Arabidopsis thaliana: one gene and its partners. The protein of the gene in region 1 interacts with the protein of each later gene in a pairwise test. Each region holds a gene or a part of one and is shown in the gene's direction. Other genes may lie near its edges.

Region 1 (7,029 bases):
TTGGCGATAAATTGATATGCTTTAGGTGACGGCAATGGATGGAGTGAGCTCTAGAGACTTGGAGATGTCGAATTTAACGGCGTTATCGCCTTTGGATGGACGTTATTGGAGTAAAGTTAAGGACTTGGCTTCTTCTTTGAGCGAGTTTGGATTGATCTATTTCCGAGTTTTTGTCGAGGTAAGTGAAGGGTTATGATCTGATTGGTTGATTGATTGAGAAGATTGTACTAGTTATGTCATGCTATATCTCTTTGTACGAGTAGTTTAGTTGTCTGGTCTAGTGTACTCATTTGCCTAAACTTTGATATTTTTATATATTTGTTAGATCAAATGGCTTCTTAAGCTTTCGAATATTCCTGAAGTCACTGAAGTTCCAAGCTTTAGCAAAGAAGCTCAGAGTTTCTTGCAAGGCATAATCGATGGATTTAGCATAGACGATGCATTGGAAATTAAGAAGATTGAGAGAGTAACAAATCATGATGTGAAAGCAGTGGAGTATTTCTTGAAACAAAAGTGTGAATCACAACCAGAGATTGCTAAGGTTTAGGTTCTTTTCTCTCACTTATAAGTTCTTAGGGTTTGGATGCTTTGATGCCCTGTAACTAAAATTTTGGATGTCTTTTTACTGAGTTAGGTTCTTGAGTTTTTCCATTTCGCTTGCACGTCTGAGGACATCAACAATCTTTCCCATGCTTTGATGCTTCAAGAAGCACTTAGTTCGGTTATACTTCCTACCATGGATGAGCTGATCAAGTCAATCTCTCTGATAGCTAAGAACTTTGCTTATGTCCCCATGCTTTCACGAACTCATGGGCAGGTAATGTCCAAAGAGAAGACCTTCACCATTTTACCTTTCCCTATTTATCTGTATCTATCTCTTTACTAATGATTTTGTTTACTATGAATTGTAATGCAGCCAGCTACGCCAACAACTTTGGGGAAAGAAATGGCGAATTTTGCTGTGAGGTTAAGCGAAGAAAGGAGATATCTTTCAGAAACTAAGATTAAGGGGAAATTTGCAGGTGCTGTTGGGAACTACAACGCCCATATTTCCGCATATTCGAATATTGACTGGCCTCATGTTTCCGAGGAGTTTGTTACTTCTCTTGGATTAACATTCAACCCATACGTGACTCAGGTAATATAGTTTATATTGATCAAACAATCCTATTCAAATTCATAAAGATCATCGCTGATTGATTGTTCTGTGTGTATTTTTTTTGCAGATTGAACCTCATGACTATATGGCTAGACTTTTTAATAATATCAGCCAGTTCAACACTATTTTAATTGATTTTGACAGAGATATATGGAGCTACATATCTCTAGGGTACTTTAAGCAGGCAAGTGTTAATATAAGAAAGGAAAAAAAAAGATGTCAAATCATTTGAATCTGAATGGGAAAATCGTCTCATTGTTTGAGATTTTGCAGACAACTAAAGCGGGTGAAATTGGATCGTCGACAATGCCTCACAAAGTGAATCCTATTGACTTTGAGAACAGCGAAGGGAATCTAGGGAAAGCAAACGCAGAGCTTACTTTTCTCAGCATGAAGCTTCCCATTTCACGCATGCAGGTTTTAACATTTCTCCATATTCTATGTATCTCAGCTAGAGTGATGGAAGTAAACTAAGCCTGAAAAATGTACAATCTGCAGCGTGATTTAACTGATTCAACTGTCTTGAGAAACATGGGTGGAGCTTTAGGACACTCTCTTCTCGCTTACAAGAGTGCGATACAGGGAATCGGGAAGCTTCAGGTATTATTACCGTAGCCCTAAGAAATGTTTCCACTTGTCACAAACTAAGAATGTTCTTGATATAGGTTAATGAAGCTCGGTTAAAAGAAGATTTGGATGATAATTGGGAAGTCCTTGCTGAACCAATACAAACTGTAAATTTCTCGAGTTTCTAATCTTCTATATCAATCAAGATATTTGATGTATCTCTAATCCACAGAAGTATTATGGTATCAAATAAAGGTGATGAGGAGATACGGTGTCCCTGAGCCGTATGAGAAGCTGAAGGAGCTAACAAGAGGAAAAGCTGTGAATGAAGAAACCATAAGAACGTTTATCAAAGGTTTGGAATTGCCTTCAGAAGCAAAAGACCAACTTCTGGAGCTAACTCCACACACATATGTTGGTGCTGCTGCTGCATTGGCACTGGCCGTGGATGAAGCTCTGCACTTGGGACATTGATGATGATCAAAGTGGTGATAGATTGTCCTCTTTTATTATGGTATTCTTTTCGAAATTGGTGGAAAACAGAGACAATTTATAGGTCGGTGACTTGCAAGTCGTCGTTTAAAATGTTAAGAAAAATCTTGTACCATTGTTGTGTTATGTTTCCTCTTTGAGTGTCTGTGTTTTATCTAAGTCTTGAGCTATAAGCTGTGGTCAATGATTCTCGAACCAATACAAATTATTGTAATAAAATAGGTCATATACACATTGGTGTCAAATAATAAAGAGTTCTCAAGTTGAAATTCAATTTGAGTGGTTTTTGTTTTTCTTTATAACCAAGTGTTATGTAGGTATCAAAATCTAGCAAATATATATGCATATAGTAGTCAAATAAATTGTCCACAGAAACAAAACTGAGAAATAATAATGTTAAAATGTTGTTTGTCAATTAAGAGCTTTAAGTAATTCTTCTATTTATTGCTAACATTTACATGAACACAAATGTTTTAGCCTTTTAGGTCTAAAATAAATAATATAAGATCTATCTCAAAAACAAACTTACTAGTTTCCTTTAGACTTGATCTATTACTAAAAGTCTAGTACATGTGTCCAACAATAATCTCAACTCTACACTATATTTAGTGTCATATAAAAAAAATCCTTAGAAGTTAAAAATAGAAATGGAAAATTTCATGACAATATACCATAAAAAATCTTTTACCTAGATATCTTCCTACACATTGCTATAATTTTATTTATGAACAAATTTCCCTGTGATTTTATTTGAGAAAAGCTATAAATTGAATTATTGAATTGAAGACATAATAATATTGTTTTTTCCTGCAAGTGTATATTGTTCTGCGTTTACCAAGTTCATGGCGGCCATAAACCCGAAGATTTCGTCAAACATGTTTGTTCTCTAATCTTTCCAACGACTTTCAAAACATATACATATGCTAAGTCATGCATATAATAATAACAAATGATTGAATCCTAATATTATTCTTATTTTTATAACACTACCAAAACCAATAAGCCCTTTCGTCGTTACCCACTACCCATAATTTCATTTCATTACAAAACACAACAACACATCATTCATTTCATTAGATCATATTGCAACATCTCTCTGAATTCTTCTTTACGATTTTGTAACTTCTATCAAATACCTTAATAATGGGAGCCTACAGAGCCGACGACGACTACGATTATCTCTTCAAACTAGTCTTGATTGGAGATTCCGGCGTCGGAAAATCCAATCTTTTGTCTCGCTTCACCAGAAACGAATTCAGCATCGAGTCAAAGTCAACCATCGGTGTCGAGTTCGCCACAAGAAGTGTTCATGTCGACGAAAAAATCATCAAAGCTCAGCTTTGGGACACCGCTGGTCAAGAAAGGTAATAAATCCTCGAAATTTCACTGTTTTATCTCTATATGTTCTGTTTTGTTTCATTCTTTGAACCAAACCAAACCGAAATGGTTGAACAAAAATCAAACTGGATAATTTTACAAATTTGTTTGTTTTACTATTTTGAAACCAATATAAACTGATTTAGTGTAACCAAATAAACCGCATTTTTTTAGAAATCCTCTACTTTTGATTATGTATCTCTATGGAAATTAAATTGAAATAGTTATGTTACATTAATATAATATTAACTAGATCATGATTTATTTCAATTATCAATTTCGATTTTTTTTATAAATATAATATACTTTTAATTATGTATATGTATGGAAAATTGGAATAAGTATATTGCACTGATATAATATTTGACTAGATAATGATTTTATTTTAATAATCAATTTCTATAGATTAACCAAATATAACTTTCTTGGTAAAAAGTTTTTTTTGCTAAAAGGAACCAAATATAACTTAATTCAAATCAAGAACAAATTGGAAAATAAACCAGATTACAAATTATTTTATTTGGTTTTAATTTCTATTAACCGATATAATCAATAGCCGAAACTAACCAACCGTAAACCGATCTCCCACTCCTATGCTCTCTTTCTTCTCTATATGCTCTGTTTTTGAGTAATAGCGACTTATTTGTTATACAGATACAGAGCAATCACGAGTGCATACTACAGAGGAGCAGTGGGGGCACTTCTAGTATACGACATAACTCGACACATAACGTTCGAAAACGTTGAAAGATGGCTCAAGGAGCTTCGTGACCATACCGATGCCAACGTTGTAATCATGCTTGTTGGAAACAAAGCCGATCTTCGTCACCTTCGTGCAGTTCCCACAGAAGAAGCTAGATCATTCTCTGAAAGAGAAAACATGTTTTTCATGGAGACTTCTGCTTTGGATGCTACAAATGTCGAACAAGCTTTCACTCATGTCTTGACTCAAATCTATCGTGTAATGAGCCGTAAAGCTCTTGATGGTACTGGAGATCCGATGTCTTTACCTAAAGGACAAACCATTGATATCGGAAATAAGGATGATGTTACTGCTGTTAAATCTTCTGGTTGTTGCTCAGGTTGAGATTATTGTTTTTGTTTTTGTAAACTGTCTTTTTGGAAGAAGGCTTTGGCTTTGGTTTTGTTGTATTGGACTATTTTTGGGGGCTTCATTTTAAGGTTATGAGACCGGTTTGTTTTATAATACAAACCGAAGAATTGTATTGAATTGAACAAGACTTGGTCCGGTTAATAAGATAGTTTACTAATACCGAACTGATCAAACATATATGATCCCAAAAAGGGAACTATCAAACAACCATAATCTTAGCTTTTGGTGTAAGATTTAGTTATGATTTCTCTTTAGGACATGAGTAGCCGACTTGAATCGATACCAAAAGTCTGGTGCTAACAAAGCGAGAATCTGATAAACTTATTAGTAATGTGAATTATGATATGAACATTTTATCGTATCTAATCGAAAGATTATTAGCGTCCAAGAAAATAGCTTTTCTATACAACTAAATAGCATCGGCTAGTTTTTTTCTTAGGGTTTTTGAGTTCGAACCAGCGCAGGTACATGTTTAAAATATCTATTAGTAAACATATCGCATCAATATATATAAAAAGGAAATTAAACGTAACAAAAAAAAAATTAACTTACCAAACTTTAGAAATAATTGAAATAATTTACCAAAAACCAAAGAGAAGAAGAGGAAGATATGTATAACTTATTCCACACGGAAGCAAGTTAGGTCCACCGTCCAAATTATGAGAACACCTTTCCTTCCAAGTCTAAGGATGTTTATTGTTTCGTACACTTGACAATCATCATAATTATTCATGCGAATATTATTATATTTCTTATAAACTAAATCATGAATTATGATCATTTTTACTTTTTAGTACTGAAGAAATGAGAACAATGCAGCAAAATAGAAAAACTAAGCATCATGTGAATACGAAACCGGAGATTCAAAATTTTAACTACTTCAAAAATTAAGAATTGCGTCAAATAGTGAAACACCTCTTTAAATCTCTTGATTGTAAGACTCTTTGAAAATATTTTTTGGATATATTATAGCAAAATGTGTAACGTGTGAGGATTCGTATTAACTAACGTTAGTTAACTTAAAATAATGCCAACTAATAACTACACAAAAATTCCTTAAAAAGGAACCATGCATAAAGGTGAAAGAAACGAAAATTCGTGGTTGGTTGACTAAGCACTTTACGTTAAACATATATGTTTATCCAAAAATTAATTATCTATTTGTTAGACGTTACTTGACCTCCACAATGGATGGATTAGTCATATTTAAAAATTAACGAGATAATCAAAAGATTCTTAATATCCACTTTAAAAGTGAGAAAATATGATCGAGAATTCAAGATCCAAGTTATTAAATTGAAAGGGTCGATTTATAGCTGATGTTATACGACCCTCTTTGTCATTGACAAATGACACGGTCTCAAGAATAATCCCACTAGGATATTGATAACATTTACGACATTGATTTAGGTATATGAACAAATAAAAATAAACCATCAAAACAAAAATAAAAACAAAAATTAAAAGATTTGGTAACGACTCAGAAATGTCACGAAACTTTATAGAAACCTTGAAAGAAAAGAGGATTCTAAAACGTATCAAAATAGAGACGTAAAATATAATAATATTTATAATCCTCTCTTAAATAAAGAAGAGTGTGCAAAGAACATGCTTCACTTAAACAAAGACTTTGGTTTGGTCTCAAAGGTTACTTGCAAGGCATAAGAAATGTGTAAAGCCTCTTTTCTCTCGCCTCGCTCTATTATATATACCTCTACTTTAGATTTCATCAATCATCATCATTCCTTCTTACATCAAATCAATTCCTAAAATCAGAGAAAAACAGAGGGACAAAGGAAACAACTTCAAAGATATGGAGATCAAAGTTGACGAAGGTCATCAAAAAGGTACTAAAGAAGACATTACAAGGCCACTTCTTGAAGAAGACAAAGACTTCCCGGATATAGAAAGAACGACATGGATACAAAAGGCAATAGGTCAAACATTTCAAACCACTGCTCATTTAGCTAATCTCTTACCAACAGGAACCGTTCTCGCGTTTCAGCTTCTATCGCCAATTTTCTCAAATGGCGGTCAATGCGATTTAGTGAGCAAGATAATGACATCGACACTGGTAGCAATATGTGGATTCTCTTGCTTCATACTTAGCTTCACAGATTCTTACAAAGACAAAAACGGTACTATTTGCTATGGACTTGCAACAATCCATGGGTTTTGGATCATTGATGGATCCACAACTCTTCCTCAAGAGTTATCTAAGAGATATAAGCTAAGATTTATAGATTTTGTTCATGCTTTCATGTCGTTATTCGTGTTTGGTGCGGTGGTTTTATTCGATCGAAATGCGGTAAATTGTTTC
Region 2 (8,645 bases), on another chromosome or scaffold:
GTTCTTCAATTTCATAAAACTGGAAAATTAGGGTTTATGGACACGTGTGAATACTAGAAAAAAAAACATCCATTTTTCTAATAGCGGCATGGCTTAAGTCCGAACCGAAGCGGCTGAACCGTCCAACCGGAGTTTGGTTGATTTCTGACTTTTAAAATTTTCGTTACCACCAAACCGAAATTCTAATCTTAAGTCCGAACCAAATCGACATTTTTTTATTTTTTAATTAACCACATATTAGTTAAAAGATAATTATATGATTGGTCGCCGAATATGGAAAAAAAATCTACAAAACAAATTTGAGAAAACAGTAAACGAAAAGAACGAACTAAACAATCTGTCTTATAATTAAACAAATGAGATATATAGAAAATCATGAAACGAGAAATATAACATTCGACATTTTGTTTGATTTTCTACTATATAACTTTTCCAAATATAAGTAGAAATGTCGATTTCTAAACAAACCCGATCTGAATAATCATATTCTCCAAATTTAGTTATGGCAGTTCAAACCCATAATGGTGAAGGTTCTCACTCCAGTATTTTTTTTATTATAGCATACCAAGATAACCAGAAGAATGAGCCAAGAAACTAAACAAAACTAAAACCAAAACTAGTTCCAATCAACTCAAACACGAAAGTAGATAAATAACAAACCACATGTGATTTCAAATTTAGTTTAGTCTAATAAAAAACAAAAAGACTAAACCGGACGACCATACATTGGGTCCCTATCGTAAATTAGCAAACAAATTAGTGTTGCCCATTTTAAAAGTTTGAACTCTTCTTTATTTAAAAAAAGAAGAAGAAGAATTGAACTGGTCAGGAAGAAAAAAATAGAAAAGGAGAAAAAGGACAGAGGGAAAATGGAGAAAAGTAGAGTAAAATGGCGTCACACCAGAGAGAAGGCACAACTCACGGGGAAATCAGCAGAACCAATACCACCGCCACCGGTTACTATTACTATTCTTGTTATCATCATCTCCCAAAAAAAAAATGTTAGTATTATTTTCGAGTCTATTTTTCAAGTTTTTGTTTTGTTTTTAATATCTCGACTTTGCCACCCAACTCCTCCCACTCCTTCACAACTGTGTCCTGTCCTCTGCTGATTTCTCACCTTTCCATCATTCATTTCATTCTTTCTTTTTTCCCATCCGTTTCTTTTATTCTTCTTTCTCCTTAAATTTAAAATCTTTGAATTAAATTATTGGATTTTATTGTTTCAAAGCGTTTCTATCATCAAAACCCATCTTCTTCTTCTTAAGATTCTGAATCATTCATTGATTGATTTAGCTTCTCTTCGACTTCTTAATTTTACAGTTTTTTTTGTTTTTTAAACTTTAATTGATGCAAATAAGCAAACTTGGATCGCTGTGAGCCTGTGATAATGATTTCTTTTAGGTTTGTAGGATCTGAAGGAAGCTACGGTTTATTTTTTTTTATGGGCAATCTCTAACAGGTACAAATCTTCTCTTAGCTTCTCTCTTACAAGATCTTTAGGTTATGTCTTGTTCTTTGGAGTTGCTATCTTTCTTCCATGTTCCAGAGGTTTGCCTTATTTTATCACTTTTGACATAATAATTTATTTTGCCTGTTTTTTGTTACTTGGTTTAATATTCAGATGAATCTTTGACCATGATCTCTAAATTTGGTTCCTAGGCAAGATCAAAGAAAGTTCATCACATAGGAGTTGATCATGAACCATAGTTTCCTCAAAGATCTCAACTTTGTCTCTAGTTGGATTGTAATCTGTATTGCTTAGGACAGTTAAATCTTATTACATCTTGGCTCGTCATGTCAAAAGCTGAAGATATTTGAGCTTTCATATCTTACAACTAATTAGTTTCGTATGTCTACAGGTTTCTTACTGTAATTTTTCTGTTTCAGTTCTTTACGGGTATATATATACACATAAAACGGTTAAGCTCTAGAGAAGATGTTGGGAGGCAACAATGATAACCCTGTGCCGCAGGTTCTAATGAACGACAGCCAGTTTCGGTATCAATCAAACACATCGTTGAATCAGCTTCACTTGCTTGGGACGAGTAAGTTTCTGAATTTTGTTATTCATTTGGTTTGAATGTTGTTAGAACTTTATAGAGCTAAAAGCTTGTTCCTTTGTATGTGGTTGCAGTGAGAGCTGGTTGTACTATTGATCCTGTAAACTACTTTGCTAATGATAACCTTGCTCCTATGATGCGGCTTAATAGCACACGCGGAAGGGAAACTGAAAACAACAATATTATGCAGAGACAGCAGAAGCTGCAGATCTCTTTGAATTATAACTACAACAACAATAATACTGTTGTTCAAGATGAAGTCCCAAAGCAGAACTTAGTGTCAACTGGTCTGAGACTATCTTATGATGATGATGAGCGCAACTCTTCTGTAACTTCAGCAAATGGAAGCATAACAACTCCAGTCTATCAGTCACTCGGTGACAATATCAGATTGGACCTCAATAGACAGAACGACGAGCTTGATCAGTTTATCAAATTCCGGGTATTAATTTTATCTACAAAGCGTATGTTTTTGCTTACATATCCCATGTCGTTGAAATTGTTCTCTCTTGGAACAGGCAGATCAAATGGCGAAAGGTGTGAGAGATATTAAACAGAGACATGTCACGTCCTTTGTCACGGCCTTAGAGAAGGATGTGAGTAAGAAGCTTCAAGAGAAAGACCATGAGATTGAAAGCATGAACAAGAAGAACCGGGAACTCGTGGATAAGATAAAACAAGTGGCAGTGGAAGCTCAGAACTGGCATTACAAAGCAAAATACAATGAATCTGTGGTTAATGCCTTAAAGGTAAATTTGCAACAAGTGATGTCACATGGAAACGACAACAATGCAGTAGGAGGAGGAGTTGCTGATCATCATCAAATGAAAGAAGGGTTTGGGGATAGTGAGATTGATGACGAAGCAGCTTCTTACAATTACTTGAACATCCCGGGGATGCCAAGTACTGGGATGAGATGTAAGTTGTGTAACGTAAAGAATGTTTCGGTCTTGCTCGTGCCATGTAGGCACTTGAGTTTGTGTAAAGATTGTGATGTGTTTACTGGTGTTTGTCCTGTTTGCCAGTCTTTGAAAACTTCTAGCGTTCAGGTCTTCTTCTTCTGAGTTGTCTTCATACTCTTGAAAAGTAAATGGTGGATGAACATATTTGTATGTGATGGTGGTGATGAATGAAAACTTGGTCGAGTCTTTCTTTGCTTTTGCCATTAAACCTATATAGCATGATTCTGCTATTTCGTAGTTATTAAGCAGCCGTTCTTTGAACACGAGATAATAATTGAGTTCCGTGTCGTGTGCGATATGTCAAGCTGTGGATTACATTGTTAGAAGAAATTATTAAACTTGTTTTGGCTGATTTTTTTCTTCTTAATATTTTTGCTGCAAAACTTGTTTCCCAAGTAAGGTTATTTATGTACTAAAACAATATTTTTTTAATGTAAAGGATTTTGATCAATATTTCCGTTAGAAAAATACTAATAAAGTTGATATTAATATACATCATATTACGTTTGCAAAAATAAAAAAGACGCAGTTAATTTCCCCATCTGAATATTAATTTTTGGCATTAATATTAATTTGGTTTAATTATAAATTATGTCAACATTGTTTAATTTGTAAATCATGCAAATCTAGTTTACTTGTAGTAGTTTGTACCAACCAAACCCTCAAAGGCTCGAAAGTAATGGGCCTTAAAGGCCCACCTTTCTACTTGTATTTAAAATTGGTCAAAGACACGTGAACCTCACGTGATTTTATCTTCCAACGAGGGAGCTTCTGTTATCCACTTCATCATTCACGTCTCTTCCGCAAAACCCAACATTCAAATTCTTGTCTGAATAACGAAATCCCAACATTTGCATTGCATAGATTCCTTCACAAATCCTCTGATTCTGATTCTGGTCACTCAATTTTGCCTGTTTATTGGCATAATTCGGGCACTTTTCTCTCAGTTTTTGTATAAGGTTCAATGAGTTTGTTCTGTACTTCTGTGTGCGTTATCTTCTCCAAATTAAGATTCCAGATTCGTGGGTTCATGAAAATCTCGTTGTAGACGAGCCAAGTTGAAATATTTTTCCTCAAGTGAATTTTGTTATGATCACGTCGTGGTTTTGATCTGACTCCACTTCCGTCGCTAACTCTCTTCGAAAGATTCGTGTTAAAAAAGGTAAAGTTCCAAACTTCATACTTTTTTTACTTCATCTTACTCATTTTCCATTGTCTCTGATTCATGCCAGAACAAAGATTTTAGTTATAGGGTTCCAGAATCTCGGACTTTAACTCGGAAGTAGTGTTCTTCCTCTGTTAACTGAAATTCTTTCTTTTGTTTTATGCAGAAACCTGAAAATGGTGAATTTTGTTTCTCTCTGTGACATAAAGTATGGGTTTGTGCCCAAAAATTCAACTGATTTGTTTGTGAAACGGAAAATTCACAAGGTAGGCTTAGCACTTCATCCAAAGCTTTGTTCTTTGACAATAATCTACTTTGTACTGTCACTAAAATTACTTAGCTTAGCTTCCCAGCAGAGGAGATGTAATCACTAGATTACCGGTGTTTGGTTCGAATGCACGAGAGAATCTGAATGCTAAACCAAGAAGAAACCTTAGAGTTAGGCCAATCTTTTGTAAGAGTTATGGAGATGCAGCAAAGGTTTACCAAGAAGAGGAGATTCCCAGAGCAAAATTGATATGGAGAGCAATCAAACTACCAATGTACTCTGTCGCTTTAGTTCCTCTTACCGTATGTTTCCTCAAGAAACCTTTCTATGTCCTCCATTGCCTTTATCTGCTAGGGAATATTCACTGTTCAAATGTCACACAGGTTGGCGCTTCAGCGGCCTATTTAGAGACGGGTTTGTTCTTAGCTAGACGTTATGTTACTCTATTGCTCTCATCAATTCTTATCATTACTTGGCTCAACCTAAGGTGATTAATTGATTGATTCCTTTTAACATTTTCGTTGACTGTATTTACTCTTTCATGTATTTACTCTTTCCAAACATGGTTTTATGTTTGCAGCAATGATGTTTATGATTTTGATACCGGAGCTGATAAGAACAAAATGGAATCAGTAGTAAATCTGGTTGGAAGGTAAAGTATTATCAAAGGATAGAGTTTGCAACTTTGAAGTTTATGTTTTTGAGTTCCATCCTAATAAACTGTGTTTTACTTGGAAAAGCCGGACAGGAACCTTAGCCGCTGCAATCACATCGCTAGCGCTTGGTGTTTCTGGTCTAGTTTGGACATCGTTAAATGCAAGTAATATCCGTGCAATACTATTGCTAGCCTCAGCAATACTCTGTGGCTACGTATACCAGGTGAACGTTACTTCCTAGATGACAATTTGATACTAATCTAGGAGATTTCTAACTTAGAGTAATACTTTGTGACTAGTGTCCGCCATTTCGGTTAAGTTACCAAGGATTAGGAGAGCCTCTATGCTTTGCAGCATTTGGTCCATTTGCTACTACTGCTTTTTATCTACTTCTTGGTAGCTCAAGGTAATATCAAAATTTTGTTTTAAGCCTAATCCATTCGTGTTTCCATGAGGTGTTAATAATGGAAGCTTGTTAATCGGTTTTGGCAGCGAGATGAGGCATCTTCCGCTAAGCGGTAGGGTCCTTTCATCATCTGTCCTTGTTGGTTTTACTACATCTCTTATCCTTTTCTGCAGCCACTTTCATCAGGTTGGTTAATGAAAAAGTGGTCTAATGAGTCCTGAAATGACAAACACAGTACTGACTACATTTACATTCTATAGGTGGATGGAGATTTAGCTGTGGGGAAATATTCACCTCTGGTACAAATGTGAAAAAAACTCAACAAGGTTTAATATGAATATGGTGATTGTGTTTATGATTAGAGTTTTTTTTTGGTTGACACAGGTTCGGTTAGGGACTGAAAAAGGAGCTTTTGTTGTGAGATGGACTATTCGTTTACTATATTCAATGCTTCTTGTTCTTGGTTTAACCAGGATTTTGCCACTACCTTGCACCGTAAGTTAACAGATTTGAGAACATGACTGAAATATAAGAACATATATTAAAACCTCCTTTTTGTTGTTGGTGTTTCAGTTGATGTGCTTCCTGACATTACCAGTTGGGAATTTGGTTTCAAGCTACGTTGAAAAGCACCACAAGGTAAGATATTTAGAATTGAAATTTGTAATACTCAAAGTTTTGCTAATCTATTCTTTTAATGCAGGATAATGGGAAGATATTCATGGCCAAGTATTACTGTGTGAGACTCCACGCCTTGCTTGGAGCCGCATTGTCGTTGGGGCTAGTTATCGCGCGCTAGAAATCAGTCACCAAACATTTGTTTCTCTCTTTAGCCTTCGTTGTATCTACCTAAACGTTTAGCCACTACAGTATGCTGTAGCTAAAAGGAAACATTCGAACTTACAACAGTTGTGAAAGGTCTCAAATTAATCACAAGCATGGTGAGCGATTGTATCCTCAATTGTTAAAGTGACGGGTGCCACCATGGATATGTTGAAACATGGGCCATGTCGGATTTAGTGCAAGCCCGTTGACGGCGTTTGTGTTAGGTAATTCAGATTTCCAACACACAAGATGGCCCAACAAAGAGGTTATGCTTGTGTTTGTAGGACATAATTGTTTCTCGATATGGACCTTTCTCCAATTCTTGAATCCATCCCAAACCACTGAAGTTGGATCCCATGTGCATTTAAGAAAATCATTAGAAGGTGAGATCCAGATTTATATTAGAGAACACATAAAACCCCAAAATATTATCATTTGAGAAGCCTATTCAGCCTATGTTATTAGGTTTTATAGCAAAATCATTAGCGGGTTTAGATGGGCTGCTCAAATGATAATATATTAGGCTTTATGTGTGCTCTAATAACTTTGATGGTAATGAGTTGACGGTATTGACCAAGTTGAAGATTGTGGACATTGTTGATTGCAATTTGATTCCTCGTGATCTGTTGTTGCTTTATGAATTACCTTCATGGCCGAGAAGCCTAGTTCATTCTAATCTTTTCACATCCTCTAAAGAATCCACAAGCTAGTAATTTTTCTTAAGCTTTTTACATTTTATTAATTTTCTCAACAAATTATTATATATTACTTGGATCTCAATATTACTTATATAGTACTAATATAAAACATTAAAAATCTTAACGAAATGTATATATTGTTGTTTTATATATATATATATGTGTCATCTTCTAATTATTCTAACTAAACATTAAAAAACTAAAGAATATACAAAGAATATCAAAATCGTTCAAAAAACCAAAAGTATCAAAATTGTCAATTTGTACAAGTCTAACACAAAATCGCAAAAGACATATTGGTCAATACAAAATTTGGTAACAAAAATTAACCTCTTAAAGGAGGATCAATCTACAAGAAATCAAAAAGTGTCATTAGAGGAGAATAAATGAATAGAGACAATTGTTCAATAGTTTGCTTTTGAAGGTTGGTAATTCAAAACTAATATAAACTTCTTGTATAGAAGACTAAGTAATTATGTTTTACATGTATATGAGGAAAAGTGAATTATGGTAAGATTCGAAGCATATCAACAATGATGTTATTAACTTTGACTCATTGGAGACTGATATGAAGTTATTGATAACATTTAGTTCATGTGACACGATTTATAACCAATTACAATAGGTAAAGTAAAGTTCTATAGTTTTCTATACAAGCAAGGTAGATTATTTTTGAATAGTTTTAACTTATCAGCCTTCTAAGCAAATTATTCATACAAAAGGTGTTCCTCTATATAGTCTATATATACTTGTTTCAATTTTTAAACTATATTTGTACAGGATTGTTCTACTGCGCCGACTCACCAATTTTTTGCTACATCTAGCAACCAGCAAACCCAATCTATCATTGCTGACACATTTCAAAGCTTACCACCATTCGTTTTTCCTACCTACCGTCACAGTAGGTAAAACATACTTCCATAGTTTTCAATATAAAAATTTAGACTAGCAATAAATTACCAGCCTTCAAAAATAAACTATTTTTGTAAATTTTCAAATTGTTTCTGTTCATATATTTTCCTCTAATGCGATTTTTTGTTTTTGGTTCAGAGTGATATAAACCATATCTATTTGGTAGCTCACTAATCTCTTTTCGGCGTCTTCGGCAAAGGACTTTCAAGATCCTATAAAAATAACATTGTATTGAAAAATGTATCCTCAAAATTTTTTGTGTAGCACCACTAACCTTGTTGGTTTAAGGATATAGTGGAATATTGCTAGTATGACTGAAATAAATATGAGAATATATCTTTGATATCAGATATAAGAAGTAATATTAATATAGTTGAAATCATATATACAATCAAATATAAAATCAATAAAATAGCTAGTATAATTTATGGGTGCCTATACTATAATGGGATGGCATGTTTTATGATTTTTTATCTCCGTCAAATTGGATGTATATGATTAACCTAATCAATTACATGTATCAAAGAAATGTACATGCACATATATTAATACATCCTTCATATATATATTGTATGACACAGTTATTTTTAAATATTAGTCTTAATCATGCTCCAATGTTGAACTTATTAGATCTTTTACCAGGAATTGGACATCAATGATTTGGCTGGATCAGGACATTTATCAAACCAA
Region 3 (7,360 bases), on another chromosome or scaffold:
TCCTATTAAGCCAAAATATATTCCTAAGGTTATACGCCCTACGCCAAAAGATCCGCCTATTCCGGAATGTCTTCGAAAAGGCACATGTAGTCGTCTTCATTTATCTCCTCCTCCGCCCCAGAGGTCTTTCAAAGGCACAAACGAACCTGGTCATTGACCTCAATCTAGCTTCGAATGCGTGTGTGTGTGCATGTTTCTTACATTGTGGTTTGGTTTGTGGCTTCTGTCTTTGTTTACCTATGCATGTGTTTGTCATATTTTATAGTTTGTCGAACGGCCGCTATAATAAATAAAACTTGTATTTCCTTTTGTGTTATAAAACGCCTCTTAATTACTTACGTTGGATCGTTTAAACTCAGACATGCTAAACCACAAAGGCCATTATCCTATATATAAAAGATGTGGTGTCTCTCGAGCGATGACACACATCACCATAATTAAATCATGCATTAACTCTTTCTTCTATGAAAATAACATGTTTCCATTTATTAATTAATTTATTTAGATTTAATTTAGTTACAAAAGTATATCAAACACATAAATTTAGATCAAAAACCCAAGGACACTGATCTAACTTGTTTTTTAGGTTTTAAAATTTTGGACGTAAGTTTCAAATAAAACATTGGATTGGGATTTAGGTTTATAATCCACTCGCAATGACATATGAGCATTTTTTAAAAAGGGGTGGTTCAGTCTCGATCGGTCCAAATAGACAGGTTTTGATATTTCGGAGGGCTGAAACAATTTTTTTTTAAACAGGATTTATTTGATTAATTATAAAAATTATAAATATTATTTTGTTATAGCTAAAAAAACAAAGTTGGGATTTTAAAAAAAATATCATCTTCTTAACACTTTTATATATGTATATTATAAGATAAAGGTTAAAATATAAGATATTTGTTGGTGCAGTAGAAAGAAAAAAAAAATGTGCAAATAAAATTAATTTTTGTTTTTTTAGAGAAATGATTATTGGTAAGTAAATAAATTAATACTCTTATTTTGGGCCTTTCGGGACTTATTTTTTTACTATTCGAGGGTCCTAAGTCATTTGGCTGCCGACCTGCTAAATATGGGAAAGGATCCTCCCTTCTTATTTCTCATCATACTAATCTCATAAGATATAAAATTTACTCACTCAATGATTTGTGTCCATATATACTAAGTTGTTTGCAATTTAGACTTATTCAAAGTATTCACGAAATACGAACTCATAATGTCGAAAAGTAAAAATCAAAATATTGATAATGCTAGACAACATAAATCAACACATGGCTACCAACAAAAAAAAAAAAGACCTATATGGATATTATTAAAAAATAACAAATATATTGTGTCACGACAAATAATTTCAATACATACATACAATTTAACAAAGTTGCATTAAAAAAAAAACCCAGTGGTTTGGCGCGAGTTTCGCCCTAGTATACCTAATTTGTATAGCATCTAAGTAAATTTTCCTTATTAATATGAAAATTTTGACAAAAAAAAAAACAGAGGGCTATAATTTTGGGCATATTAATTACTAATTTTGGTCATTATTAATATTTTTGGAAAAAATTTTATCCAACATAGGATAGTTTATATAGCCAAAGTATTTTGTTTATTTTCAAAATCTTTTTTTTTTTTTTTTCAAAATCTCATTAATATAAAACTCAAATAAAGTTATATAAACTGACAATATTAATTGTTAACAGTAAAAAAGAAAAGAAAAATGGAAGAACCGCACATAACAAGTTAGAAACACTAAAAAATATATGTACAGATCATTCATTTTGTCACAAAACTGAACAACATGTGGTTCATATAATTTTTTTATATTTAAATATAAGAAACAAGCTTTTGTTAATAAAATGACGAATGGAGAAGAAGAATATACGGTTCCTCCACATTAGCAATAGAACCATACTGTCTCCACTCTTCCATTGAAGGTAAAAAAATGTAATGGGCTCTCTCTCTAAAGAACGGTTTTTCTGGCAGAGTTCCGTCTAAGTTTCCAGTTGAATCCGGCTTTGGTATCTGGCTTATGACACGACTAATTCAGTATCTTATTTTTGTTATTTATATGAATAATGTCCACGGTTTTAATTATGGGGATGCCACTTTATACGGTGATTCGTTTAGGTGAAGGTTTTACTTCTGCTTGTACTATTGGGTCCGCGGTTGATAAATACTATCAGATATGATTGCATACTTGCATGTAACTGATAAAAATAATATTTGTTACTTTACGTATTTTGAATTACCAATTAGCCTGTATTTCAAGTAACCAGAACTACTAGTTACTAAGCAAGCAGTTGTGCACTTATTAGATCATAATAATAATAAGTACTCAATAACTAAAATCACCTTAAAACGGAAATTAAAAAAATGATCGACTTTGATGTTATCATATCCGCCACTTTTGTTTCGTTCTCTCGGGCTGAATCGTTTGTTTCGTTCTCTCTATCGTTACTAGCTCTCTGTTTCTTGTTTTGTCTCTATTCATTAACTTTGCTTCCCTTATTAGTAATTATAATTTATAAATTCTAAATGATGTCTCTGTAAAAGAGAAACAAAGTAGATAAATATTAAGGGAGAAATGTAAATGTAACTGCATAATCGGTTTGCTACAAACTTATTTTTCCCTCCTAAAATGTTTCTTTTCTTTCTTTGCAAAAGATTCATTCGCTATATGCCTGTATTGGTTAAACATTAGTAGAAGTATTTTTGCAATTGGCGTGCAGAACATGGGAAGTTAGTAGCTACTTTATATATGGCCACATGACTTCCTCGCACGTCACGTAATCGGTGAAATGCTGTCCATGTGACAGTCAGACTCTTCGTAAAACAAATGTTCCGAAAGTAGTAACTACGGATAATTTATTTATTTTTGCAAACGTTACTGTAGTTACAAAATAAATAATGTTCCTTTGTAACTTTGGCGTGGGATTTCCAAAAAGTCTCTTGTCACATGAAACGGTTTTGAAAAATTTATAATCTCACTTTGAATTTGGTATATGTATTCAGACGAATGATAAGATACCAAATTATTTTAGTCGTTTTAATTTATAGATTTATTACTAACTTTTTTTTTTGTAAATTTAAACTTTCAGATTAGGCAACACCAAATAAATGATATATTTAATAGAAAATGTATGGTCGAAAAAAAATATTGTAATGTCTCTACACCAGAAGCTTTTGTTTTGACTTTTGAGTGTTTGAATCATTTGAAGTTTTGAACAGAATAATTCCACAATCAAAACCAAATAATATTTTATCAGGCGAGCGAAAGACAAGATTTTGACAGGTATTTGTACAAGTACTGAGTCGGTCAACAAACCCCGTCTGGACTCTGGACCCGAAGTAACCCAACAAACGTTGCGACAACTACATTAGCACCACCACCAAGGCACCAATAATGCAACGTAAGAGGGACGCAGCAAAACTGTCGCGATGTGAGATTCACGCGCTCTAATTTAAACGTTGACTCTTTGTTTCATCGTTACTCTCTCCCATTTATTTACTTCGCATACTCTCTTCGTTACAAGTTTCCATTTAATTACTCTTAAGTCTCTAACTAATAGCTTTAGGGATTCGTCATTAATTTAAGGCAACGTAAACTTAAAGAGTTTCGACTAAAAGCCGTTTCAGGAAACATACATCATCACATACTTTATCTAAATAACTGGCTTATTAATTTTATAACAAAAATGACGTTATTTAGTGTTAAGATATACAAATATTTAATTTTTACTAAATTAGTTAAGGTAAAATTGTGTTCCTTTCTGTGAGTTTTCCGCAATATTAAAAAACCCTAGAGAAATTAACAAAACGTAATTGACTAAAAAAAGAGTTCAAAACAAAACATTTGTTACATTTATTTCATAATTTAAAGACTAAGTATAAATCCACTAGAAAACAGATGATTAAAAATGCGGGTCCCACAATACGCCAATCGTCAAATAATCGCGCACCTTTTCGCCACGTAGCATAACAAAGTCACGTAAGCCCTTCCTCTACATTACAAGACCAAACTCAAAGTCTCTTTCTCCCCCAAACCCAAAAACATTGACCCAAAGAGAGAGAGACTTCTATCGTGCGCACCTCTCTCTCTTAATCCTTTATCCTGCGCACCACCACCACCATCTTCTTCTCCGGCGAAAACAAACCCACCGCCATGGGGAAAGGTCGTGCACTTTCCGACGGAGTGATCAAAAAGATCATCCTTTCATACACCTATGTCGCAATCTGGATCTTCCTCAGCTTCACAGTCATCGTCTACAACAAATACATCCTCGACAAGAAGATGTATAATTGGCCATTCCCAATAACTCTCACCATGATCCACATGGGTTTTTGCTCTTCCTTAGCTGTGATTCTCATCAAAGTCTTCAAAGTCGTCGAGCCTGTTTCAATGTCACGCGAGACTTATCTCAGATCCGTCGTACCAATCGGCGCGTTGTACTCACTTTCTCTCTGGTTATCAAACTCTGCTTACATCTACCTCTCTGTTTCCTTCATTCAAATGCTCAAAGCCCTAATGCCTGTAGCAGTTTACTCAATCGGGGTTTTGTTGAAGAAAGAGACTTTCAAATCTCAGACTATGACTAACATGCTTTCGATCTCGTTTGGTGTTGCTATTGCTGCTTATGGTGAAGCTAAGTTTGATGGTTGGGGTGTTTTTCTTCAGCTTGGTGCTGTTGCTTTTGAAGCCACTAGGTTGGTTTTGATTCAGATCTTGCTTACTTCTAAAGGAATCAATCTAAATCCAATCACTTCTCTCTATTACGTTGCTCCTTGTTGTTTGGTTTTCCTCTCTGTTCCTTGGATCTTTGTGGAGTTTCCAGTTCTTAGAGATACTTCGAGTTTCCATTTCGATTTCGTGATCTTTGGAACCAATTCTGTTTGTGCGTTTGCTTTGAATCTTGCTGTGTTCTTGCTCGTTGGGAAAACCTCTGCTTTGACTATGAATGTGGCTGGTGTGGTTAAGGATTGGCTCTTGATTGCATTCTCGTGGTCGGTGATTAAGGACACGGTCACACCTATCAATCTGTTTGGTTATGGACTTGCCTTTTTGGGTGTTGGATATTACAATCACTGCAAGTTACAGGCGTTGAAGGCTAAAGATGCACAGAAGAAGGTTCAGGCAAGTGATGACGAAGCTGGGAAGCTTTTGGAAGAGAGGGAAAGTGAAGCTAAACGCAACGAAACCCAAGATTGATCTGTTCTGATTCAAGAATGCAATTTCAGGAAATAAGAGCTTCAAGGTTAGAATGATTTGGGAAGATGGATTTTGCATTTTCATAGGTATGATTATCATTGTCGGTGTTCGTTCGTCTACGTTTTAGTTTTGCGATTATATTTTTAAGTTATGGCTGATTATATTACATAGTGATGGATGGGTGTTTAATTAGAGGTTCATGAATCTTTTGAACTCCATTGTATCTTCTTCTTTTGAGTTGTATTTTGTTTCTTACTTCCTCATGAATCTATCTTTGTGGGTAACAATTGTTTTAGTAGTACTTCTTTATATTTTTTCCCTCCATTGAGATTGTTAAATGTCAAATTGAAAGTCCCTTTTACGTCTCTCTTTATCCAATGAAACCGTTGTATGTTGGAAGGCACAAGAAGATGGTCAACACCAAAAACTTTTTGATATTTTATGGGTTATGTAGGATCATTTAGTAGCAAGATCCACAATTTAAGGAAATAAACAAAATACCCATACCGACGTTCCCTTGCAATAATATGACACATGACACCATCATATGAATACAATGGTCTCATTTAACCTCTACAAATATCCTTCCTTTAGTCTCAACAAGTTTCTGTCCTGAGTAAAGGGACAGGCCAAATAGGTGTTAGATACCAAACTAAAAACATTCAAACAGGCTCACGGGTTATGGATTTCTCATCAGCGAATATTTGGGAACTTTTAACACAATTCGGATCTACTCTCGCTTGGCATAAAAGCTGTTTTGTTCCAGAACAGAATTCATAAGCATGCATTGGTGCTTGGTTTGTCACTTTGTGAAATGTGACTTTGAATAGCCATCCTACCTCTTGGCAGAATTGTTTTTGGATTTGGGTTATATCCTATCAAATTCCAAAACTTAACAAACCAGTTTTGTTTGATTTCAACTGGAATCTTATAACTAGCTCATAGTTCCTACATATCTTTTTTTTGTTTGAATCTACTACATATCAGGCAGTAGTATTCTAGACTCGGACGAAACTTTATTAGTCCAAATTAGGCTGCACCAAACGAAATGCAGATACATCATACATGTCACGGACCGGACCACATCGGGTTTGGCAGATTTGGCATCCTAGTTTTGACATCTCTACCAAACCCACTAAAGAAATCTACACGGACACTAATAAGCCAAATCAGCAATACGACAAACGGTCCATATTCCACCACGTGGCTCTCTTATAGTTCGTCACGTCGACACCTATTAATACCGTTCTAAATTCTTCTCCGGAACAGTAGCTAAACCGTGATCGTAAAGCTAGTCTCCAGAGAAGAAACCACAATCGGAGTCTGAAGCAACAAATTATGCCTAATGTTTCTCAGATCTCTACTGTTCTACGTCTAGCGTTTTCTTGTAAAAGAAGACTCTCCAATGGCTTACACTTCGTTGCTCGTTCCTATTCCACCTCTGATCCTCCCAAACAACCATCAGGTACTTTCAGAATCTTCAATTCGTTGAGAATTATGCAATTGAGATTAATGTCGCTCCTTTATCAGGTCCACTGACGAATTACTCTAAGTTAGTGGAGCAAGGGAGGTTACAACATGATCCATACCAAGAGAAAGTTGTTTCGGCATTCGAAAATTTGTTTGGAAGATTGGAACATTTCGAGAAGCAAATGGAGGATTATCATGTAAATTGCAAATAGTGTAACAATTTGGTTCAATTGTTTGCATATAGATGTGTAACATTTCGGTGTTTAGGTGAGATTAGCAGAGTGGGAGAAGAAGAGAGAGGAGGAACGAAGAAAGCTAATGGTGGAAGAAGCTGAGAAGAAGGAAGATGATGGAATGTGGGCATCTGTGAATAAGCAGGGACAAAAGCTTTTGGGAAGATGGGTATTAGGGTGAGGTTTTTGTCAATGGCTTCTTTTTTTAGTTGAATATTTGTTTGTTAGTTTTTTCAAATGGTTTTGTTTTCTTTCGTGTGTTTTAGGCGGAGACAGATGAATGTAGAACCTGGAGTTGGTAAATGGGTATCGTACCTTAACCGAGAGAGAAAATTGGACTCGATTGTCGGTTCTCGTCCCGCGGTACCACCAGCTCCAAAAGGATTATATATCTATGGAAATGTAGGATGTGGTATGTTAATGGATGCTACATTATGATCTTACCGTGTAGCTA
Region 4 (8,605 bases), on another chromosome or scaffold:
AAATGGATATGTAATCTCAGTGACAACTTGCCATATCGTGTATAAAACATAAATTTGTAATTTTTTTTAACAAAAAAAAAACATAAATTTGTATTTTTATTATGTGTACTATTATAACATATTATTCTGCTTAGCCAAAATAGAATAAAATACTACTCTTTTCGGTTTAACAATTGTCGTTACCCTCAAATCAATATTTTTCTTCAGTATATAATTTTGTCTACAAAATTTCGAAATACTTTGTTAGATCTGCAACTAGCTAGCCATGTATGTCTACAAGAATAAATCCTTAAACCTACATGCAGTGGCAACTTGACCACTGGGATGTAGAAAGGGTGCTTTGTTCCAGTTTCTGTTTTTATAAGTTGAAAAACGAATAAAAATGTATGACTTAGATTCTGAAAAATGTATTACTAAGAATGTTTACGCATTGTTTTGGTATGAAGCTTTTTGGCCATTATTATTATTTTATTTTTATCTTTTTGACATGCTTTTTGGTCATTTATTTAAGAACTATCGAATTCTTTTGGGATATTATTATTATTATCGAACTTTGACTTGTATTCAATGGTGGAAACTGAAAAGGTCAACAGTTTTGAACTCGATGGTAAGTGAGAGTAAGTCGATCGATATTCAAAGTCACTTTACTGACCAACTTTCGATGGTCGTACGCAATTCACCATCTTTCCAAACATCACCAATCAATTTAAATAATGTTGCGGCTTTTTCCTCAATAAAGAGTTCTATTGTTGGACACTGCATTCACACAGTATTATCTCACATTCCCATCAATTTATAATGAAAGTTCAAATTAATAGTCTTTTTTTTTCAATTTTCTCTTAAAGGCTTCTCCTTTTTTTTATACTATCATTTTATGATTTTCAAGACATATTGTATTATTTAAACTCTTAAATGGGTAAAATTTGAATGACCTATAAGTATATAACATAATGATTTGTGAAGCTGTAGTATACTGTCGTATTAAAGTTCGTATAATATATATTGTATCATTGTTGACAAAAGAAAATGTGTTAAGTGTTAAGAATCAAGAGCTTTTATTTAGACCAATATTTTTGTTTCTTGTAAATGATTTAATACACAGGAAAATTGGACATATTTGTAATGATTTCCCCCTTTTCAGTTATTTTCTATTTGTAGATTTTGTTAAATTATATATGTAAAAATAAAATTAGCAATGTTCAAGAAAGCGCTATGCGCTAAACGGACGGTAATCCTCCATCTAGTGCCTAGAAATGCTTAGTCGGAGTCTAGGCGATTTAAGGCAGTTTTAGAATATTTGTATAATTATATGAGATGCTGAAAAAACATTATGAAAATTTATAACATTTTTACATTTTTTAGAATGAATTGAAATTTAACATTTGAAAGTAGAATATAAAAATTATAGGTGTCTTTAGACCCAATTTTAAATATATATATTTTTAACATTAGGACACATTTAAATCCGCCTAACCCGCACAAACCCACCTAATAATGTCTAATTTGTTTAGTGACCGCATAGTCCGCCAAATCTACCTCACCGCCTAATAACGCCTAGATGCTCATCTAGCCCATGTTCTAGAACACCGAAAATTAACTTTAAGTAAATTAAAAGTTTAAATATACATACACAATAAATTAAGGTGTCTTTACATGGTTGGTGTTCAATTTAATAGGTAAGTACATCCATATATCAAACCAAAACATAAACCACAAACCCTATATTCTTACAGTTAAAAATTAAGCTCTAAATCTTAACTTACAATCCATTACCTTGAAGGAGAAGATGACAATATCTCAACCGGAATCCAGGATTCAACTGTGATACTTATCACCTTTGAGGAGAAGAGGAGAATATCTCCCAAAGCTAAAACCATGGTGAACTTACCACACCTTACCGCATCTCGTTCCATCATTCAACTCAAATCTAGTTTTTATTCGAGCACACGACTAGATGGTTATTCTCGGTTAGGTCAATCTTATTGGTCGGTATAATCTGAAAATATTGGCAAAACTGATCTAGTAGCTTAATATCGAAGCTTAAAATGTAAGGTATTTCCAACGATTATTACAACTTAGAAACAATCGCAAAATTATGATTTAATTTTATTTTATCTCATTTTTTTTATGCTATCTAAATAGAACCGAACTAATATCGATCCAACAAAAAAAATCGAATTAAACCCGAAAGAGACAAAATATCTGAAGAAATCCCAAACTCCTATATCTGAAGAACCAGAATCGAACCGAACACCTACTTGGTCATGTAATGTACAAAATATAAATTATATACTCAACATATTAATAAATTTCTTAGTTATCCAAAATTACAACTATAATCCAAAATTATTAATTATTTTTAGACCAACATAACCAAAATATTCAGAAATTCTTAGTACATTTGTCAAAAATTAATCGAACTAATACTATTTAAAACCGAACCGAATACCCAAATGCGTGGACCAAATATAGGCAACTCAGCTTTAACTCCAGACACAAAATCTGGTGTCAAACACGAGATATAATTGCACATTGAATACAGCTATATCAAAGCATGAATTTTAAAAAATATATTAAGAAAAACAGATACTTTGATTTATTTTTCATCTATATATATTTTTTTTTGTCAACTTTTTCTATCAATATACTTTTCAGATGAATTATTGGTTTTCCAACAACATCGTTCTGAAAAATCAAAATGTTTTCCAACTCAAATAATAGATTAGATGTTCCAATGATTATATTAAATTTCCTATTTTTTGGTAATTCATATATGCAGAAAACTTCGGAAAACCATTGCACAGCAATAAGCATTTAAAAAAAGTGAAACCCATTCTATCAATGTTATGTTGAAAAACTTCATCTAATTGAGGTGTATTTTGCATGTTCATACAAAAACTCCAAAAATAAAATTGAAAATAATCGAGAATATTTAACATTGTTATGTAACTTCAATTTGTGAGAATTTATCAACGAAAATAGAGTATATATAATATGACCAAACTCATAACAGGCAAACACCACTTTACATAGTTTCCACTTTCATTTCCTCAAACCAACCGAAAGTTTTTAGAAACATAGTAGATATAGACAAAGAAGTCCATGGTAAACGTTAATTATTTAAATAACTATTAAATAATAAATTAATAAAATATTTACTTTATCAATTTGTTTGTAATTATGGTTGAAAACTTGCCCATCAAAATTTTAAATATATTTTCTTTTTCAAAATAATATCTAATTGCCTATGATAAATGATTCTAAAATAGTAAAGTATACCACCAAATCGTTCATTTATACTCTTTAGAAATGATATAACGACAGTGTATTTTCCAACCGAATGGTCGGTGTTTCCAGTGTATTTGAAAGAATTTAAGAGCGAGAAAGAAAAATTTATTAGCATCTCTTTATTTTTAATTCCTCGGAATTGGTTCGTTTGAGTTTAATTAATTCCGGTTGACAAAAAAAAAACAAATGATATAAGGAATTTGAAAAGTTAAATCCTCCGTCAACTTTCTCTTGACATCAAAAGTACATATAACATAATAATCAATAATAATGAAAAAACAACTATATCTCTAATTATAATTACTTTAATTTACTCAAATACTCATTAAATTAAGGACATGAATCATTGTTTTTAAATTTTAAAATTAAAATATCTATATTTTAAAGGTAAAAATCTTAAAATTTGGTTTGATGTTTAGCTTTTATGGAATTTTTAAGAATTGAGATTAATCCTAGCAATTCTAGCAATGTTATGTTGAAAAACTTCATCTAATCGAGGTGTATTTTGCATGTTCATACAAAAACTCCACAAATAAAATGGAAAATAATCGAGAATATTTAACATTGTTTTGTAACTTCAATTTGTGAGAACCTATCAACCAAAAAAGAGTATATAATGTGACCAAACTCATAACATGCAAACACCACTATACATAGTTTCCACTTTCATTTCCTCAAAACCAACCGAAAGTTTTTAGAAATATACTAGATATAGACGAAAGAAGTCCATGGTAAACGTTAATTATTTAAATAACAAATTAATAAAATATATACTTTATCAATTTGTTTATAATTATGGTTGAACACATGCCCATGTTAAATATATTTTGTTTTTTTTGAGTAATGCCTATGATAAATGATTCTAAAATATTAATATAAGTATACCACCAAATCGTTCATTTACAAATGATATAACGAATTTCAAAAGTTAAATCTTCCTTCAACTTTCTCTTGACATCAAAAGTACATATAACATAATAATCAATAATAATAAAAACTACTATATCTCTAATTATATATTTTCTTAAATTACTTTGATTTACTCAAATACTCTTAAATTATAAGGACATGAATCATTGTTTCTAAAATTTAAAATTAAAATATCTATATTTTAAAGGTAAAAATCTTAAAATTTAGTTTGATTGTTTAGCTTATATGTAATTTATAAGATTTGACATTTTGCACTTGTTGTCACTAATGTATAACAATGAAACCATTTTCTCATAAAAAGATAAACTATTTTTGTAGTCCTCACAAAAAAAAAAAAAAAAGCACATGCGGTTTCCTCTGCTTCTTCCTTCTTACAAGTTGGATGTCTCCGTCTTCCACGGTGCTTATAAATTAGTGAAACAACAAAAGCTTTGGTCAGTATTTATATTATCATGCATTTCTAATCTCTACTTTGTCAATTCCTATACTTTCACTCTCTTCCAATTATATAATCTCTGGTCCATAGAAAACATCGGTCTCTTGTCACCGTTGATTTTATTTGGTCAAAATCATTCTTCTTCTCGCTGAATAATCGTTGATTTCACTTCTTCTTCTGGTCTTAAAAAAATTCAAGATCTATACGAGAAAACACAAAACAAGTAAAACTTTTTCAACCGTTTTTCCTGTCGGTAAAGTTTGGATTCTTCTTAGTAAATTTTGGTCTTATTGTCGACCAAAAGAAGAAGATGGTCGTTCAGAATGTTCAAGATTTGGATGTTCTTCCGAAACATAGCTCGGATTCATTCGATGATGATGGTCGTCCCAAGCGAACCGGTAATTTCTCTTTTTTTCTCTAATTTTATGTTTTATGTTTCTCTAATCTGTTCAAACAAGAATCAAAGTAAATATAAAATTAGTCTCTGTTTCCTATAACCGGGGATTTGAACCCGAAACCCGGAATTTTTTTAATTCCGGGTTTCGGGATACAAACCGAAACCCGGAGTCTGTTGAACTTGCAATTTAAAACATCTACAGTAAATATATGCATAGGCTTTGTTTGTTAAGGGGTGACAAATTCCTACTTCTTTTTTTGTGTGGATGTTATGGAAAAGTATGATTTTTGTTACTAAAGTGTATGAACACTATTGTTACTACAGTTGTTGTCTTAAAATTAACGGTTAAACAAAACAGACTTTATTGTTACTACAGTTCTTGTCTTAAAATTCTGTTTGAATGTGATTGGTGTTTAGGGACGGTGTGGACAGCAAGTGCACACATAATAACAGCAGTAATTGGGTCAGGAGTGTTGTCATTGGCATGGGCCGTTGCTCAGATTGGTTGGATTGGTGGTCCAGTGGCTATGTTACTCTTTTCTTTCGTTACTTTTTACACATCTACCCTTCTCTGTTCTTGTTACCGATCTGGTGACTCTGTTACCGGCAAAAGAAACTACACTTACATGGACGCTATTCACTCCAACCTCGGTAAACAAAAAAAAAATCATTTCGGTTTCTTTTTGGTGCATATATTGGGATATTGAACCGAAGATCGACGGTTGAGATGACAAGGCCAAGATATAACAAAAAGATATTATTCTAGAAGATAAATGTTAATATTGAAGTTTAGAAAGTTTAACATTTATCTTTTAGAATAATATTTTCTTGCCGTATCTTGGCCTTGTCATTTCAACCGTTGATCTCTGTCGATCTCTGGTTCTCCATATCGGTTCCATATCCCAATAGTTATTATCATCAAAAACTTAATTCATTCTTGATTCATTTTTAGGTGGGATTAAGGTGAAAGTATGTGGAGTTGTGCAATATGTTAATCTATTTGGTACAGCAATTGGATATACAATTGCATCAGCTATAAGTTTGGTGTAAGTTAAAACTTTGCTTTCACAAAACTCTTTTTATTTTAATTGTTCACATTTGTCCAAAAAAAGTTAGATGCGTGTTTTATTTTGCTATTCAATATTGTCCATACAAGTCATTAATGTTTGGCTCAATAATGCAGTGTTTTAGTCAATGTAGTCTTGTTTTGTGCCATTAAAGATTCGAAAGAACGGCTCTATTATTGTTTGACTTGTTAACTAATTTTCTTGAATAAAAAATTTACAGAGCAATCCAAAGGACAAGTTGCCAACAGATGAATGGACCAAATGATCCTTGTCATGTTAATGGAAATGTTTACATGATTGCGTTTGGTATTGTACAAATCATATTCTCTCAGATTCCTGATTTTGATCAGTTATGGTGGCTTTCCATTGTCGCTGCGGTCATGTCTTTTGCTTATTCTGCCATTGGACTTGGCCTTGGTGTCTCTAAAGTGGTAGAGAACAAAGAAATTAAAGGTAGTCTCACTGGAGTCACTGTTGGGACAGTGACACTGAGTGGGACAGTGACATCGTCGCAGAAAATATGGAGAACATTTCAGTCTCTTGGCAACATTGCGTTTGCGTACTCTTACTCGATGATTCTCATCGAAATTCAGGTATTTTTGTTACGCGAGTTTTTTTTTTTTTGAAAATAATGTTAAGTTAGATTCAAAAGAAAAATAACGTTGTTACAACTAGTGCATCGTTTGGTTTATTTGTTAAGCGAGTTTGTGTGATAAGAGTTTGTTTAAAGGATGTTTTAATCAACTAGACGATTTGATGATCCAGGACACGGTGAAATCACCGCCTGCCGAAGTAAACACGATGAGAAAAGCGACTTTTGTAAGTGTGGCAGTGACTACAGTCTTCTACATGCTATGTGGCTGTGTAGGGTATGCAGCATTTGGGGATAACGCACCCGGAAATCTCCTCGCTCATGGAGGGTTTAGAAACCCATATTGGTTGCTTGACATTGCTAATCTCGCTATAGTGATCCATCTAGTCGGTGCTTACCAAGTCTATTGCCAACCCCTCTTTGCCTTCGTCGAGAAGGAAGCCTCTAGGAGGTTTCCAGAGAGCGAATTCGTCACAAAAGAGATCAAGATCCAACTCTTCCCGGGGAAGCCCTTTAACTTGAATCTCTTCAGGCTCGTATGGAGGACGTTCTTCGTGATGACAACAACGTTGATCTCAATGTTAATGCCTTTCTTTAACGATGTAGTCGGTCTCTTGGGGGCCATTGGTTTTTGGCCTTTAACGGTTTATTTCCCAGTGGAAATGTACATTGCACAGAAGAATGTTCCGAGATGGGGCACAAAGTGGGTTTGTCTACAAGTCTTGAGTGTGACATGTCTTTTTGTGTCCGTAGCCGCGGCCGCGGGATCTGTTATTGGCATTGTTAGTGATCTCAAGGTCTACAAACCTTTCCAGTCTGAATTCTGAGATCATACGGGAAAAATAAACTCCTGCTAAAAGGGTTAAGATTAGAATTGAATGTTTTAATGTCATATTTGTATTAGTTAACTTTGTGTAAGTGTTCAATTATAAATCATGTTTCTACCGAGAATTCTTACAACATTGAACTATCAATGATTAAAAGTAGTCATGTATAAGGATAGCTTTTTCGACACTTGAGGTAGTAGAGATGTATTAAACATTTAATACTTATAATTAATTTTAGAAGTCTATAAACCAAAGGAGCTACAAGATGTTTTGTGTTTATCTCCAAAATTCTTCAAATTCTTAAATCGTTTATCTTCTTGTAAACACTCTCCAAAACTAAAGATCCCCTAGATAAAATTGAGCTAACAATGCCTAATGAAGCCATACAAATAAGATAATCAATGTTTACCTTGACAAAACAATAATTAAAATTTAACAAAAGCAAATCGAGAATAATGATATGACACTGAAAATATTCTGATCTTTCTTTTACAAAGCAATCGATGAATTCTCAGTTAGTTACACAATAAATAACATTAGTTACATTCAAAAGCTATACAATCAAATGAGTGAAAGTACTTAAGAATAATATCACATGCTTGGTGTCTTTTTGATACCTCAACTCTTTTGTTTTATATATACTCAAGAACTTTAATAATATAAAAAATAACTCAACCAATGATGATATAGTTTTAATTTCCTAAACTACAAGTGCAAAGCAATCAAAGTAGTATTAGGGTCGATCGGTAAAGAATTTAGAGTAACGCACACCAATGTCACATTTTGTTTTTACAAGACAAACATGTCTTTTTAGTTTGAAATACCTAAGCTAACTAGATCATACACATTGTCTTCAACAGAATGAACTATGTGATATAACTCCATTTCAAAAATTCTTTGGTTTTATGGTATTGATGACGCTCTCATGGGTCCATAAATAATAAGAATCTCAAACATATTTTTGTAGATTAGTTGAGACCTTATGAAGCTACTAAAATATTTTTGAGATTTATAAAAATAAAAATATTAATGTAAAATGTATTATTTTCCAAAAATTCTAGAAACCAC

Evidence for each region.
Region 2: the proteins of RABA1e (region 1) and ABC4 interact in a two-hybrid assay, tested with the Arabidopsis thaliana proteins (one large-scale study listed by BioGRID).
Region 3: the proteins of RABA1e (region 1) and AT2G25520 interact in a two-hybrid assay, tested with the Arabidopsis thaliana proteins (one large-scale study listed by BioGRID).
Region 4: the proteins of RABA1e (region 1) and AAP5 interact in a two-hybrid assay, tested with the Arabidopsis thaliana proteins (one large-scale study listed by BioGRID).

What each region holds. Positions count from the first base shown.
Region 1 is NC_003075.7:10,181,556-10,188,584, reverse strand, and holds RABA1e (RAB GTPase homolog A1E), read left to right. Parts: upstream 1-3,201; 5' UTR 3,202-3,361; coding exon 3,362-3,582; intron 3,583-4,249; coding exon 4,250-4,682; 3' UTR 4,683-4,914; downstream 4,915-7,029. Other genes in the region: AT4G18440 (L-Aspartase-like family protein), read left to right, coding at 26-178, 326-541, 635-817, 917-1,138, 1,227-1,343, 1,433-1,576, 1,658-1,759, 1,825-1,893 and 1 more; AT4G18425 (transmembrane protein, putative (DUF679)), read left to right, coding at 6,523-7,029. UniProt on the Arabidopsis thaliana protein: Intracellular vesicle trafficking and protein transport.
Region 2 is NC_003070.9:22,322,481-22,331,125, reverse strand, and holds ABC4 (UbiA prenyltransferase family protein), read left to right. Parts: upstream 1-3,766; 5' UTR 3,767-4,187; intron 4,188-4,356; 5' UTR 4,357-4,366; coding exon 4,367-4,456; intron 4,457-4,535; coding exon 4,536-4,760; intron 4,761-4,841; coding exon 4,842-4,945; intron 4,946-5,038; coding exon 5,039-5,110; intron 5,111-5,198; coding exon 5,199-5,337; intron 5,338-5,413; coding exon 5,414-5,520; intron 5,521-5,606; coding exon 5,607-5,706; intron 5,707-5,780; coding exon 5,781-5,819; intron 5,820-5,904; coding exon 5,905-6,015; intron 6,016-6,093; coding exon 6,094-6,159; intron 6,160-6,223; coding exon 6,224-6,319; 3' UTR 6,320-6,689; downstream 6,690-8,645. Other genes in the region: AT1G60610 (SBP (S-ribonuclease binding protein) family protein), read left to right, coding at 1,940-2,048, 2,138-2,505, 2,582-3,127. UniProt on the Arabidopsis thaliana protein: Involved in the synthesis of phylloquinone (vitamin K1). Catalyzes the transfer of a prenyl chain to 2-carboxy-1,4-naphthoquinone.
Region 3 is NC_003071.7:10,856,791-10,864,150, forward strand, and holds AT2G25520 (Drug/metabolite transporter superfamily protein), read left to right. Parts: upstream 1-3,877; 5' UTR 3,878-4,159; coding exon 4,160-5,203; 3' UTR 5,204-5,620; downstream 5,621-7,360. Other genes in the region: AT2G25510 (uncharacterized protein), read left to right, coding at 1-293; AT2G25530 (AFG1-like ATPase family protein), read left to right, coding at 6,269-6,406, 6,476-6,668, 6,734-6,870, 6,941-7,083, 7,173-7,318.
Region 4 is NC_003070.9:16,763,583-16,772,187, reverse strand, and holds AAP5 (amino acid permease 5), read left to right. Parts: upstream 1-4,502; 5' UTR 4,503-4,964; coding exon 4,965-5,052; intron 5,053-5,468; coding exon 5,469-5,702; intron 5,703-5,749; exon of another isoform or gene 5,750-5,929; intron 5,930-6,003; coding exon 6,004-6,097; intron 6,098-6,338; coding exon 6,339-6,711; intron 6,712-6,883; coding exon 6,884-7,537; 3' UTR 7,538-7,796; downstream 7,797-8,605. UniProt on the Arabidopsis thaliana protein: Amino acid-proton symporter. Stereospecific transporter with a broad specificity for glutamate and both neutral and basic amino acids. Reduced affinities for asparagine and valine.